2 linked regions of the Caenorhabditis elegans genome follow. Each later gene encodes a partner of the first gene's protein in a complex. Each region holds a gene or a part of one and is shown on either strand. Other genes may lie near its edges.

Region 1 (6,294 bases):
TGCAGATTCGATTCCGCGGAAATAAAGGAGTCATCGCTATTGAACCCTTTCTGGATGAAATTCGTAAATGGGCACTTGTGAACGGTGTTACTTCGATGAAAATGGCGAAATGTTTGTTCCGTCCAAGTCAAATTAAATTCCAAGCTAAGGCTATTTCGGGAGACCAAATCGAAATGGTAAAGTTCTCGTCAGCGGTATTGGTTGCTCTCAATAAACCATTCATCAATATTCTTGATCAAGTTTCCGAAATGCAATCGTTGGATTGTCATAAAAGAATTACGAGCAGAATTGAGGAATTGATGGATCGTCAGATCTTGTCATTTGCCAAACAGATGAATGAGGAGACCTTTTGTAGAAACAAATTAAAGGTTTGTCTGAAACATGAAATAATGAAACTTTTTATTTGGAACTCTTTCAGGAGTTTCCACGTCGTATTGATATTGATAACTTGAGAACAATGTGGGGATTTACATTGTCTAGTGAGCCATTCTTCCGTTCCCTAATCAAGGCATCCATCAAGTTCTCAATCAGTGAGTTTTCCGAATTGTTTTCAATTTCTCAATTTTATTATTTTCAGCGAAACAGCTTTGCAAAGAGCAAATTCAAATTCCCAGTGAACTTGGTCGATCTATGCTCGGAGTAGTTGATGAAACTGGACGTTTACAATACGGACAAATCTTCGTTCAATACACGAAAAATTACAAGAAAAAACTTCCACCGCGAGATTCCAACAATAAAGTTCATGGAAGTGAGATTGTCACAGGAACCGTTTTGCTCACTAAAAACCCTTGTATTGTCCCCGGAGATGTTCGGATTTTCGAGGCTGTCGATATTCCAGAACTTCATCACATGTGTGATGTAGTAGTATTCCCACAACATGGACCGAGGCCTCATCCTGATGAAATGGCTGGATCCGATTTGGATGGAGATGAATATTCTGTTATTTGGGATCAGGAATTACTTCTTGAAAGAAATGAAGAACCTTTCGATTTTGCTGTTGAAAAGATTAAAGTACCATATGATAGAGAGAAGCTTGTTAGTTTTTTTTTGTTCATTTTTTTTTTAAACTTTGGTGTAATATCAAATTTAGGACGTCTTGATGCGTGAGTTTTATGTCACATATCTGAAATTAGACTCCGTTGGACAAATCTCGAACAGTCATCTTCACAATTCTGACCAATATGGGCTGAATTCGAGAGTTTGTATGGATTTGGCAAAGAAGAATTGCCAAGCTGTTGATTTCACAAAGTCTGGACAACCACCAGATCCATTGGAAACGAAATGGAGGGCCGGTACGTATGCGTATTCATGAATATGGTGTAACTACCTATTTTCAGATCCCGTAACATTCGAAGTTATCCCTCCTGAAAATCCTGAGCGAATTCCTGACTTTCATATGGGAAATGAACGAAGTCCGATGTATGTCAGTCCAAGGCTTTGTGGAAAACTATTCCGAGAGTTTCAAGCAATTGACAATGTTATCAAGATCTCTGAAGAAAGGGATGAACAATATAATATTGAACTGGATGAGACTATCTTTGTTACTGGTTTTGAGAGATATATGGAAAGTGCTCAAAAACAATTATCCAGTTACAACGGACAACTCAGGGTTAGTTTGAAGGCTGAGTAAAGTTTAAATACCCAAATTTTACAGTCTATTATGGAAAACTACGGTATCCGGTCGGAAGGTGAAATCATGTCAGGATGCATTGTCGAAATGAGAAATCGAATTTCGGATAAAGACCAAGATGATATGTCATTCTACAACACTAATCAAATGATTGAAACAAAAATGACATCTTTAGTGTGCAAATTCAGAGAAACGTTCTTCGAGGTACAGTTTATTTCAATATTTATTTATTTTTTAATTTCTATGCCATTATCAGGAATTTGGTGGATTCACAGTAAAATGTACACTTTTACCAAATGCTTACGATAACGGCAACTGTCTCAATTACCGTTGCGAAGATCCAGATCAGGAGGTCAGAAAGAAAGCTGTTGCCTGGTATCGAGCTTGTTACGGTAATTCAATTTTTTTGTTTCAATTTTTTGAACTATTGTAATTTCTTTGTAGAGTGTGCTCAATCCACGAGAGAAGTTCGGAAGCTTTCATTTGCTTGGATTGCATATGACGTCATTGCCAAAGTCAAGGAGACTAATGTATTGAATAACGAAAGAATGCAGATTGGTGGAGCAAATCCCATGTACACTTTCCTAGAAGAGCATCGAAAACAATATTTGATTGATCACGATGCGGATTTCAAGAACTTCTGTGAACTCGATCATCTAATTACCGGTGAAAAATCAAAAGAAGCGATTTCCATTCTGAAAATATATCTGGAGATGATACCAGGGTTGGACTCTGTGTTCTTCATGTTAATGCGATGGGGAGAATCATTACGATTGTTTGATGGAAAACCAATCAAGATTTATCACTTTTTCCTCATGTTCATTCTTTTTGCAACACGACAATTGGCATCTGCTGATGGAAATGCAGAACCGTTTTTCAAAATAATTGAAAAAGAAGAATATGAGAAACAGAAAAGAGATTCATCGAGAGGCAATATCGATCCACTTACTGAAAAAAAAAGATCAGATATGGTAAGGAATAAGGGGGTCATCGAACATCGTCGATTTTTCGATTTCTTCGAAAAAGTATGAAAAAAGAAGAGAAACCTTTGAATTTTGTCTATAAACATCTATATTTTGATAACAAAAATAAAAAATTCATTGAAATATATAGAGAAATTATAGGAAATTGTAGAAAAGTTGAAATTTTACCGAATATAAAACAAAAAAAACTTGAATTTTCGATTCATCAAAGTTGACATAAGTCCATTCAGCTGTATGATTTGTAGTCCAACATTGGCGAGAAATTCAAAGCCGAATTGTGTATTTTTTTCAGATGGTCAAATTCTTCCAATTTATGGGATGTCGGAAGTTCAGAAAAATGTCGACTTTATCCTTTTGTCCTCTCAACTTCTCATCGATTTTTATGCGTGGAGAATGGCGAATATTCCATGAATCAGCTCTCAAAACCTACTACAATATTCTGTTTAATCTACGTTTTGAAGAGCTTCCAGTATCATCTGATCCAACAATTACAGCTGAGACGATGGATCGAGAGTGTGAACCATTTGTTATCGAGTTACCCGGTATGTAAAATCTTTTGGAAATAAAAAAAATTGAGTTTTTTTTCATTTAGAAAATATAAATGTGAATGATCTGATCAATAATATGAAGAAACACACAAATGTTTCAACTGTAAAGATGCGGCGACAGGAGAAAAATCCGATAAACGATAAGGCGAAACCAAAGACTACAGGTAATTAAAAACTCTTCATATTGGTAGCATAAAATAATTGTTTTCAGTTCGTTACATCGTCTCCGTCTCCGGAACTCTCGAATCAATTCAAATGCTCAAAAAGCTTTCAGCAGTTACAATTCCAATCAAAAGTCATTGGGAAGGAGAAGAAGTATCACAACAGATGGCATCTCTTTGCTATCAAAAAGTTATGAATGGTGAATTTTAATCTCGTATTTTTGTTGAAATATGCCATAGACTCTGTTAATGTTTTTTCTTCACTTACATTTTCAAACCTTGTACTATTTTTTCTGTTTTATTTATTTTTAATTCCTTCTACCATTTGTATTTGTGTGTAAACTGACCAATTCCATCATCAAATGATTGATTAATAATTTTAAAATATTTTCTCCGTGGTATAAAACATTTATTTATTTTAGATTTTCGTTTCGTAATCGATATTCCCAATGTTATTTCGTTATCCAATATCTGCTAAATGAGGGTTGATAAAATCCAAATTCAAATAACCTCGGGTTTCAGTTAAACAACACGCGCTACGACACTCCGTTCTCTTTTCGAATTTTGTTCGCTGAAGAGTGTGTCTGTTTCTTCGTTCTTTCTTTTAAAATGGTCTTCGATCCAAGAACATTGGATAATCCTAAGGAAATTAGTGCTTACAGAGATCAAAGATACCAGGTAAGCCTTTTGTTTTAACAACTTTTCGGGTTTTTATCGAATAAAAGGTGTTGTTGCACAATACGAATTCAAATTTGTAGTTCTCAATTTCAGGGAACCGTTCGAGACCAGGAGACTGCTCTACGCACATCATGTACACTTTATGTTGGAAATTTATCATATTACACTAAAGAAGACCAAGTCTATGAGCTGTTTGGAAGAGCCGGTGACGTCAGAAGAGTGATCATGGGATTGGATAGATTCAAGAAAACTCCTTGCGGATTCTGCTTTGTCGAGTGAGTTTTTTCCGCGATTTTCATTGCTTCTCTGGACTTTTAACCCGAACAAATAAAATTTAATTAATTTTTATTTTTATTTATTGATTTCCAGATACTACACAAGAGAAGACGCTGAGCTGGCTCTTCAGAACATCTCAAACACTCGTATGGATGATCGTGTAATTCGTGCTGATTGGGATGCTGGATTCATTGAAGGACGTCAATATGGAAGAGGAAAACACGGTGGACAAGTTCGTGATGAGTATCGAAAGGATTATGATCCAGAAAGAGGAGGCTACAATCGCGCTATTGCTCAAAAAGGTTAGCAGAATAAAAAAAAATGGAAAAATCGTTTTAAGTTGTTTCAAATTGGTTTTTTTATTCGTGTGACTATTAAGAAAAATGAATCTTCTACATTTTTCAGGCGGTGACCGTCAATAATCGTTTCCAAATCCATCCAACACGATCCTCAATCATCATTCTTCAAACAAAAAAAATCACAAAATCTGAAAATTATTACCGTATATTCTCTATTAGTGCTGCATCTCCAGTAGTACTGCAGTCTCTAATAGTGCTGCACTCAAAAAGGGTCCGAAAATTAGTGCTGCAGTCTCTATTAGTGCTGCACCCCATTTTCTACTGAAAGAGTCACTCAATACATAGTTTTGACATTCTGGGGAGTGTTTTGTATATTTTTGAAGATTTCTAGTTAACTTACAAACATAATTGAGTTATTAGGTCATTTTTGTTACAAAATTTCACAATTTTAATGGATTTCTGCTTAAAAGGTGAGCATTTGTGACTAAAAACTAGTGATCTCCAATTGAAAATAGCCGTTCGAAAATTAGTGCTGCAGCCTCCAGTAATACTGCAGTCTCTAATAGTGCTGCACTCAAAAAGGGCCTGGAAATTAGTGCTGCATGCAGCACTAATAGAGAATATACGGTATCTCTGTTTCCATCTTGTTTTAACGTTTTATTTATTTTTCTGTTTGTGTTTTCTTCTCCAAACTTGAGATAAAGCCATCTTCCTCCATCGATTTTTTACAGATGTTTAAAAATAATTATTGAGGCAGGTGAAAATTTCCCAACACAATATCATTCTTTCTAACCGCATTTTTCCAGTTTTTCTTATTTATTTACATATAGATGACCTCAATTCTTCGAAAAGTGGAATGGGTTCGAGTAGCAGGGAAATGGACGAAAATGTCCGTCATGGGGTTGGATATTTCAGACGAAACGCTGAAAATTCAGAAGAAAAAGGAGAACGAGAATCGAGTGATTATTTTAATGATTCCAGGTAAATCGGGAAATTGCGCTTTTAAAAATTTAAGAAAATTTTAATTTCAGGAAATCCCGGAAACGAAGGATTCTACGCTCATTTCGGACGAGAAGTTTTGCAAAATTTGATAAAGAAAGATGAAGATGAGCAGAAAAACTTGAAAAATCAATATTTATTCTACACAGTTTCAAGTCTCAATCATGTTCGAATGCCAGATCATTTGAAAGATGATGGAGAACATCGAAATCATGGTAATAAATACAAATAAAACGAAGAACCGTTCACTCCAGCCTTTTAACTTATTTAGTTTCGCCGATTTCGCAGTATTTTTCGCCCTTTTGTTTTTTTTTCAAATACCTAACGAGACTCATGGATCCGGTGCGGAGCGCGTTTTTACGTCGATTATAATATATTTCCAGACCGAATTTCTCTGGAGGAACAAGTCAATCACAAACTATCATTTGTGAAAGAGCACCTGCCACGTGGAAAGCAACTGTACATTTTGGGGCATAGCATTGGTTCGTATATGATGTTAAGAATCATTCCTGAAGTGATAAAAGAAGGATTCCACGTGGAAAAAGCTGTTGGACTGTTTCCAACGATAGTTCATATGGCAAACTCACCAAATGGGAAACGATTACATGGAACTTTAGCTGTAAATTCAATTTCTTTATTTTAATTTTTAATTGTAAACTTTCAGACATTGAACCATCATGATTGGCTCACAAAAACGATTTGCTGGTGGGTGGATTACCT
Region 2 (9,138 bases), 1.2 Mb from region 1:
AAACCTTCATCGACTTCTTTTCGTTTCTCCGTTTTTGATTCACGTGGATCTCAGTTATAACCAGGTCAGCTTATTTCAATTAGACATTCCACAATGACGTTTCCCTCGCCTCCTCTTCCGGAAAACGCTTTTGAAAATAAAGAAATGAAAATTGCACACTCCAATAAGGCGCTAGGAAGGCGAGTGAGATGCGCCCCGCAACGCCTCAAGAGGAGAAAAGTCAAAAAAGTTTCCAGATAACATCATTTGCATCTCACACTTTCAGTAAATGCATTGATCTCCGTGTACTTGATCTGACAGGGAATCCAATTAAAATGCTCCCTTACAAGCCATTTGCAAAGAATATAAAATTGAAATGGCTCAAGTTAAGCAGAACCAATATTACTGTAAGTTTTCCGAGAATATCCCCACAAAAAAACATTTTCAGACGCTAACACCTGATCATTTCTATGGTTTGAATGCTCTGAAAACTCTTTCACTTTCCCGAATGCCAATTCAATCGATATCTCCCTATTCATTTGTTCCATTGAAATCTCTTCGTTATCTTGATATGGACTCGTGTAATCTTACAAAAATACCTCAAGCAGTTACTGCAAACTGTCATTTGGCACGTTTGAATGTGGCAAATAATATGTTACATAGAAGTTCTTCTATGCCTCCCGAAGTGATGGCTATGTTGAGTGGTCTGTCACAACTAAGAATTGAAGGAAATCCATTGACGGTTTGTTTTGCTCGGGGGTTTATAGCTCAAATAATATCCAAAAATATTAATCATGAAAATGCACATCTCTTATTTACGGGGTTCCCTAGCCTTTGTGAGGTTGAATTCATGCGATTTTTCTGATTAATTCTCGTTTTCACAGGAATTCCCAGCCTCATTTTTACTCATCTCTCGTGAAAACTTCCGTCTCCTTCGTCAACTTCTCCACTCAACAATGACTCTTCCCGTTTGGCTCCGCGAGCCATGTACTCCATACTATTGGTCAATGCACCTAGCAAATCGGTAACATAACCAAATTAGGATTGAATCCTAAAAAAACTTTTTTGAGAACCAATAATCTAAAGTCATTTGTAAATCAATATAGTGAGATGAGAATGTTAAAAAGCGGACTGGGTTACTGTAAGGAGCAATATGACTGGATGTTGGAACAAATGGAAGTTTATAGAGAATTAGAGAAGAATTCCGGTGAGAATCTTTTATTTTATGTCCAACCTCATTTTTTTAATTGAAATTTTCGAATTTCGACCCAAAAAACTGGCACGAGAGAAATCGTTCAGCTACAGTAATCCTTTATTTTTTTCAAATTTCTCTTTATAGTTGACATGGTTTTGATAATTTCGTAAATAAATGCAACTTTTCAACAAAAAATATTGAAAATTTAGAGATAGACGATAACAATTTTCGAAATATGGTAGGATACGGTAGCTGAATAGTTTCGTTCGTGCCAGGACCTAACGTCATGAATGCGTCTACATTTCAATTCAAAAAAAAACCACTATGTAATACGTGGATTCATAATATTTTTCAGGATGCTATTCTCTTCGACGTCTTCGTTCTTCTTTATCTTCAAAACCTGTCCCAAAAATTTCGAAAAACTCTACGAATTCTCTAATTCTCTCAATTCCTCATGATCTATCATCCCCCGCCTTTCATATTCCAATTCTTTTATTAATATCTTTATGTGCAAACTTTTTGTTACTTTTTTCGATTCTTATGTGTTCTATCATGGCGTGTCGAATGGAAAAAGGTGTGGATAGTGTTTGAACGGATCGATTAATTTTATTAAATAGAATAAATAAATGACCTGGTAAAACATGTAATGAAACACAACAAGAAACAAACGGAGATTGGGAGTTTAATATTGATAAAATAAACATGGTTCCGGGGACTTAAAGTCCATATTTATGATGAACCCGGACTGGGATCGTAGAGATTTTGAAGAGATTGGTTGAGAAAAATAACAGGAAATTTGAAATTGGACAAGATTAAAGTATATGACTCATTTAAAGACGAAGAGACTGGAATTGGTTGAAGCATTCAATAATGCTAGGATCGGTTCCTTCAGAGAAAACTTCATCAGCGATGTTACTCGAGTGCTTCAACAGTGTTTCCGCGTGCTGAAAAATATTTCATATAAAAATATATCAAAAACGGAGACCATTCTTTAATGTTTCACATTTTTAAGATTGTTCTAGCCGACTCGAAACGAGTATAAAACTTACAGCTAGCAAAACGTGACAGAATCTTCCACGGAGCCACATGAATTTAGGTGTTTGAGTTCCTGGTGTATCCCCAGAACCATCCATCTCGGATGTGTTGGACGTGGCCGCGTTTTTTATTTCTTCAATGAATGCCTAAAATTGAAATATTTACTAGAGATAATACATCTTGAAGCAACTTACTATTAAGAAATCATTGAAAAGACCCTTTTGGAAAGTGACCATTCTTTCTAATTTCTCTTTATTGTTCTCCAAATCTTCGAGATCTTGTTTGAATTTTTCTTCTTTGGTTTCATCTTCATCCATCTATAAAAAAGGGATCTTATTATATAATTCTCTCTAAATAAATACCTTAATATCAGACTCTTCATCATCCTCCTCTTTGATCTTATTCTCTGTTTTCTCAGTCAGCTCTTTTATGTCTTTTTCGACAACATTAATCTGTCGTGTGAGCTTTTCCAATGCTTGATTGAGCACTTCGAACAACCATTGTCTGAATATTTTCGGTTAGAGAAAGTTTTGGAGTATGTGAAAGTGTACCTGTCATGTTCTTGCCACATTTTCTCGTCGAATAGCCAACCAACAACGGCTGAACAATCGATTACTTGCATTTTAAGAAGCTTATCAGTAAGGATCATCAACATCTGTTGATTCGTTTTCCAGCACGAATAAAGTGTTTCCAGTAGCTTCTCTTGATAAAGTTCTGATGCGTCACAGACAGTTTTCAGAGTGGTTTGGTATCTGAAATGAATAAAAACTTTGTTGATTTTTAGGATTACATTCGAAACAGGGACGGTAATCGAAAATTATCGAGATCAAAAAATTTGAAAAAAACTTGAAAATTCGCAACAACGAATTACTACTGTAGTACTGTATTTTCTCTAATAATATTGCACCCCCACTACTTTGAAAGGTTATAACTCTCTTCGTTTCGAAAATATCAACAAATAATTAAATAAAGACGATACAAAATTAATTTTTAAAAAAGTGTGCAGTTAACAATTTTTGAGTATACACAATATTATAACTATCAATTCGTATTATCTAAATAACTAACCTGAATAGAGCTGAGAAGTTGTGTGAATAAGTCTTCGATGCCATTTTGAGCATAACCATTACGAAAAGACCGAATTCATTAATGTTATATGGCAATTCGTCATTTTCATCATTTGATTTAAGCTCATTGAGGAATGCTTCAGCTGGCTGACGTTCTTGGAACATTTGAGTGAATGTTTCCGCTCGTTGAACTAGTGCAGTGTCTTCTGAAATTACAAGTTTTGATTTTTCCAAAAAGTAGTTATTTACCTTCATCAATGAGATATCGAACTTCTGGAGAGCATGGATGAATCTTGACAAAATCTTGGGGCAATGCAGCGATAATTTTCTCATAAGATCCAAAACGACGACACTTTTCTATGACTTCTCGTACAAAGATTTGACTGCCGGAAAATGCATCTTTCTGCAAATATTACCGTGCAATGTTATGAACAATAGAAAATAAAAACATACATTCAAACAATCCTTCCAATCTGTCCAGGTGTATCGATATTGGAAATTAGAAAGATGGAAACTGAACCAATCAACCATTCTGTAAAATAAAATTGAAATATGAAATTTGAAATATAATTTACCTGTCAATACAAACTGGTTGCATTGAATCTGCGCGCCGATAGATACACTCAACAGTTTGAACAAGAATCTGTGGATAGTCGTCTGGTTTAAGCTTTAGCAGTTCGAGAACGAGAGAGCCTGAAAGAAAATATAATTTAGTTATTTGGATTCTACATTAAACCCCCGCTAAATCGAGGTTTAATGGACTTTTAATGAAGAATGTTGACTTACAATGAAATATTGCTGGATATGGGGCATGTGGTAGACGGAGCATTTGACCGAAAATAGTTTCGAAAATAAGGAATCCAATAGGAACAGATGGATTCTCTTCTGCGAAAGCGAGAAGTTCACGAGCACATGCTTTTCTATTAAATTGATTTTTTTCAATGATCCAAGCGATTTCACCTTCGAAGAGGAAACGATCTATTGAACTATCACCGGGAAGGGGTTTACTCTGAAAATTATAATAGACCCTTTGAAATAATTTTCAGTAAATAAAAAAGATATTTCCTTGCTTAAAAAGACAAATGAACGAACAGTTTAGACAGTTTCAATTTGCACTTACAGAAAAGGCGGAACAATCCGCGTCTTGAAACAGACGGAAAACGACCAGTGGATATGGATAAATCATATCCGAGGTATGTTCTGGAGATTGAAAACTTGGCAAATTATGTTGGAGGGCATCTTGAAGGGTGGTTTCAAAACCAGAATAATGTCGAGGAATGTGATTTTCAACCCAATCCGCATTACGAAGAGCTTCAATCTGAGCTGATAAACTTTCGAGATAATCTTCTTGTTTTTGATCTGTCGAGCCTTCCCGCCAAACTTGGAGAAGCTAAAAATATATTATTTTTAGTTATTAACAAGTTTAATATTAATCTTACCGCAACGTGATTTTTATTTCTCAACTCGAGATACTTTCCAATCGCTTCTCCAATATTCTCCATTTGCTCGGGAGCTTTTTCAGTCAATTCTTTACCAATCCATGGAAGACAACGAAGAACTGTTTGGATATAATAATCATTACGAACTTGAGGCATGTTTTCCTCAAAAGCAGCTGCAATGAAGCTCTCCAAATATTCTCCAATTGATTGAGCTGTGAGCACTCCAGAATTTCCAAGATCACAAAGGAAAATAGCAAGATTTTGAGCCTCTTGATATTTTTGTTTTGAAAGAAGATCTTGCTGCTCAGAAATTAATTTTTCTACGACGTCTCCTCCGAAATTGAAATTCTTTGAATTCAACAGACCAACTAGAGTTGTGTATACAGTAACACGATTTGGGAGATAGATGGCACATCCAGCAATAATATCAATAATTGAAGCCCGATATTTTTCGAGATCATCATGTAAAAAAGCTGTGAGTTTATCCAAATTGCATTCGATCGATGAGCCAGTATTCTATAACAACATATTTTGGTTGGAAATTGATGTTTTATGTCTTACCTCTCCAACTTTTCCGATGACTCCCTGCAGTTTTTTTTCTACATCTTCGATTAGTGGAGCCCCGCGACGTCTTTTCATTTGAACTTCATCCTCATCTGAAAATCATTTAATTTTTTTAAACAAGATTTAAACAATGCAGGAAGTAGCTTACCATCGAATTGCCTTCTCCGCGACATTTTCGTTGTTTTTCGAACAAAATCTGATTAAATCTCACTGGTTTTGCTTGAGAAATCGCAAAAAAATCCGATGGAAAATTCGAAATTGAATATATTCTAAACAAGGCGCGCGTGTGGAACAGCGCAGTGTCGTAGGTTACTGTCTGACATCTCTGCGCCTCTTCTTCTCAACGCCACTTCTGTTTATGCAGCAAAAAACAAAACCGGTCTTAAATTGCCAATAATTTCAATAAATCAATAAATTATTGCAAAAAAAATGAACAATTCAAGCAATGCAGATTCACAAGAAGGAAGTACGAGTGCTCAGTAAGTCAATTATTTCCATTTCAATTAAATTCTCGAAATATAAATTACTTTCAGAAAGCAAAAAACCGCGAATCCGTCTGAAAGTCGTCCTTTTGTGCTCAAAAAATGGAATGCGTTAGCTGTTTGGGCCTGGGATGTTGAATGTGACACATGTGCAATCTGCAGAGTACATTTAATGGGTAAATTTTATTTAATTCAGTGGTTAAAAAGTTGAATCGCTTCAAAAATATAACAAAACTTATTTTTTTGATATTTTGTGAGATAAAAATGTCGCAGATAATTTTATGATGGTTTTTGGTTTAAAAAAATTTTCAGTTTTTTCTCTAAAAAAACACAATTCTACAGAAATCTTCCATAATATTTCTCTACCCCTAAATATCATTACAAACTTACGAAAAAAAATATTTTGGAGCATTTCTAGAGGTCTTGAAAAAAGTGGAAAAATGCACTGAAAAAGTTCAGATCGACTTTTTACTAGTTCGAAGTGCTCATATGCAGCTAAATTTTTTTAGTGATATGTTCAAAAAGTATTCTTTTGAAAGATATATTTGTATTTAAAAGTTCAGGAACAAGCAAAAGTGCTTGCTTTGAAAGTAAAAAACACGCAAATTTTCGTGAACAGAATAGGTAATATACAACTATGTCGAAATTGAAATATATTGTCCTTTTTTTTTAGCTTGCAAATATATATTTAAAATCAACATTTTTTAAAAATATGCATAGGGAGCAGGAGATCCACACTACCAGAATGAGATTTAATCCAATAATTATGAACAACTTTTTTCAGAAGAGTGTCTTCGTTGTCAATCTGAACCAAGTGCTGAATGCTACGTAGTGTGGGGAGACTGTAATCATTCATTCCATCATTGTTGCATGACTCAGTGGATTCGACAGAACAACAGATGCCCACTGTGTCAAAAGGATTGGGTCGTCAGCCGCACGAGCAAATAATGTATCAATTATCTACTTTTACACGTTCTTTCCCAATTTACATGTAATTTTTCGACTCTTTTTCAAAAGAACTTTTGTCTGTAAATTGTCTCTTCACCCACTTCTTCCCTCTCCATTTTTCACCCCGTTCTCCACTTTGTTCCCATTCACAAAAATAATGACTGTAAATAAAAATTCACACACACACAGACGACATATACACGAATATGAACACAAAGAAGCAGAGCAATAGAAAAAATGATTCTGAAAATTTCAAAGAAAAACAAAAGACGCCAGCCGTGACATGGTCGATTGTCTGGCGGACTATACGAACAGATACTTCTAGATTTTACTGAAACTGAGATAGATATATTTAAGAATGAGTTCAGGTGAGAACATTTACAGTTTGAATATTTTATAGAAAATTATCCGAGTTTCCAGAGTTTTTCCACCGTCAAGGAGTCTTCAAACGTGTCCGTTCAGTGATAATTCGACCAAGTCAAAGTCCATCCACTTCAGTGACACGTGGAAATCTGACAAGAAGTTTCAGTGCTCGTGGAGATGCAGAAAAACGAAATAGAGCAATACTTCGAAGACAAGATGCAATTGATGATGATGATCAAGAGTGAGTCTGAAGAGTTCAGCAATGATATTATTTGATTTAATTGTCCCTTGGGTCTCACCGCGCTCCCTTCATAAAACAGTTATTTTGTGTGCGAGTCTGTAAGATTACTGTAGACATATGAGTAATTGTCTTCTACAACACAAGTGACTATAGTATTAAATGTTTTGCAAAAAAAAGTTGAAAAAATCGATCAAAATTTCCTACAGTAACTTCAAAGGGCGCGTGCAGAAATCTTTGTTCATACATGCAGCGCGCGTGGCGAGACCTTTTTAAACGAATGCGGCTCCTTGAAATCAATCGGCGAAGCAACCATATACAGTGTACAAAAGAGGGTTGAAAAAGTGATGTTTCTCATTTCTGTACCCAAAATCTTGAAATTTTAGTGCGTTTTGCCAACATTGGGCCTAACTTCTTCAAAAAAACGTTACTTTTTTATCTACTCCATGAGAAATTGAGAAGCAACATTTGGACTGAAAAGTTCGTGATTCCTAAAATTGATATTTTGTGAAAATAAACATTTTTAAATGCTTTTGTTCTTTGAAATTTCCAATACGTTACTTCTCTATTGTTTTATTGTTCTCATTGACCTGTTTAATAAACTACAAAGAATATAATAATGTTAGATATAAACGAAAACAATAAAATCTTCCTCATTCCCATTTCAATTGAACCATTTGTTTGAGTTCTGACTCATTTCCACCTTTTTTCCTCGATCACCATTCACAGAAAATTTAACCTCTTGGGAACTTGAATAGATTATCATCTGCCAAAAAAAGCCTCAATATATGGGAGCGGCATATCTCAAAGATTTTGTTAATTGGAATATTCTTGAATTTATCTACAATTGGCATTTTTGAAAGTATATTGGACTTGAAATTTTTTTTTGGAAGTTTTGTCTGAAGTGTCTCTATTTCGGATAGAATTTTGTGACGTTTTAAAAAAATAAAAAGTAATATCGAGTTTTTACAAAAAATCTTTATCAATTAGTCTATTCTAAAACCCTGAGCCAATATGAGCAGAAACTGGAGCATTTTTCACTAATTTCATACGAGTTTAAGTAGGTTCAATTACAAATATAACATCCATTAAGTAAAGTTTATACCTCACGAGAAGCCGAAAAGAGAACGTTAAATTTTTCCAAATGGTAAAATATTTAATTGGATCCCTTTTATGAAATCTTCACCCCGTCAACCACTACGCTACTTTTTTCAACAATTAAACTACATAATTTCGTATCATTCGTCATTTTTCCAAGTATCACACGATTCCGTTTATTAACTATGCACTAACCATAAAATTTCCCAATTTCCTCTTTTTTCGCCCTTTAACCATCATCGCAACACGAGACTCGTGAAGTTTAAAATTATTCGGAAATTGATAAAAAAATACATAGAGTTGATTATGCTATCTATGCAGTTGTAGAGACTTAGAGGTTCTATTGAATAACTGAAAAAAGTGAATGATAAGAAAATCAGAAAATTCTGATAAAATGCTGTAGCCTGAGTTAGAGAAGAACATGAACAAATCACGGTTTCCGAAAAAAAGTGAGATTTGTAGTTGAGTTGTGAAGAAATAGGAAAAGTCAAGTAATGATAAGATGAATTGTGGGAAAAAGCTTTGAAGTTTTATTTTTTTATCTTTTTTTTTTTTAAATTTAAACTTTAAATTAGTTTCATTCATTATTTCTAATATTTAATAGCAAAAGTTTAATTTTAAATTCAAAATTTTCGGTATCTGAAGACAACTATAGACCTGATTGAACTGAGTCAACTATTAATTGTTTCAACTTTTCAATTAAAAGTCCTAAAACCACATAAACTACCGT

What was found. Proteins that work in one complex are often made in the same cells at the same time.
Region 2: ncbp-2 (region 1) and ncbp-1 share a complex: the UniProt entries of both Caenorhabditis elegans proteins name them as parts of the nuclear cap-binding complex.

Annotation. Positions count from the first base shown.
Region 1 is NC_003279.8:7,640,879-7,647,172, reverse strand, and holds ncbp-2 (Nuclear cap-binding protein subunit 2), read left to right. Parts: upstream 1-3,844; 5' UTR 3,845-3,931; coding exon 3,932-4,000; intron 4,001-4,093; coding exon 4,094-4,275; intron 4,276-4,369; coding exon 4,370-4,578; intron 4,579-4,681; coding exon 4,682-4,698; 3' UTR 4,699-4,716; downstream 4,717-6,294. Other genes in the region: rrf-1 (RNA-directed RNA polymerase), read left to right, coding at 6-368, 419-530, 578-1,035, 1,091-1,292, 1,338-1,609, 1,655-1,834, 1,887-2,022, 2,075-2,601 and 3 more; F26A3.1 (Lipid droplet-associated hydrolase), read left to right, coding at 5,406-5,556, 5,607-5,789, 5,958-6,193, 6,239-6,294. UniProt on the Caenorhabditis elegans protein: Component of the cap-binding complex (CBC), which binds co-transcriptionally to the 5' cap of pre-mRNAs and is involved in various processes such as pre-mRNA splicing and RNA-mediated gene silencing (RNAi).
Region 2 is NC_003279.8:6,418,420-6,427,557, reverse strand, and holds ncbp-1 (Nuclear cap-binding protein subunit 1), read right to left. Parts: upstream 5,501-9,138; 5' UTR 5,453-5,500; coding exon 5,428-5,452; intron 5,372-5,427; coding exon 5,277-5,371; intron 5,232-5,276; coding exon 4,716-5,231; intron 4,667-4,715; coding exon 4,397-4,666; intron 4,286-4,396; coding exon 4,063-4,285; intron 3,970-4,062; coding exon 3,852-3,969; intron 3,809-3,851; coding exon 3,730-3,808; intron 3,680-3,729; coding exon 3,526-3,679; intron 3,483-3,525; coding exon 3,278-3,482; intron 2,962-3,277; coding exon 2,761-2,961; intron 2,714-2,760; coding exon 2,572-2,713; intron 2,527-2,571; coding exon 2,404-2,526; intron 2,356-2,403; coding exon 2,224-2,355; intron 2,119-2,223; coding exon 2,005-2,118; 3' UTR 1,766-2,004; downstream 1-1,765. Other genes in the region: lron-6 (eLRR (extracellular Leucine-Rich Repeat) ONly), read left to right, coding at 1-64, 237-386, 428-721, 864-1,003, 1,050-1,186, 1,530-1,765; rbx-2 (RING-box protein 2), read left to right, coding at 5,709-5,758, 5,813-5,937, 6,546-6,709; R10A10.1 (uncharacterized protein), read right to left, coding at 8,718-8,993. UniProt on the Caenorhabditis elegans protein: Component of the cap-binding complex (CBC), which binds cotranscriptionally to the 5'-cap of pre-mRNAs and is involved in various processes such as pre-mRNA splicing and RNA-mediated gene silencing (RNAi).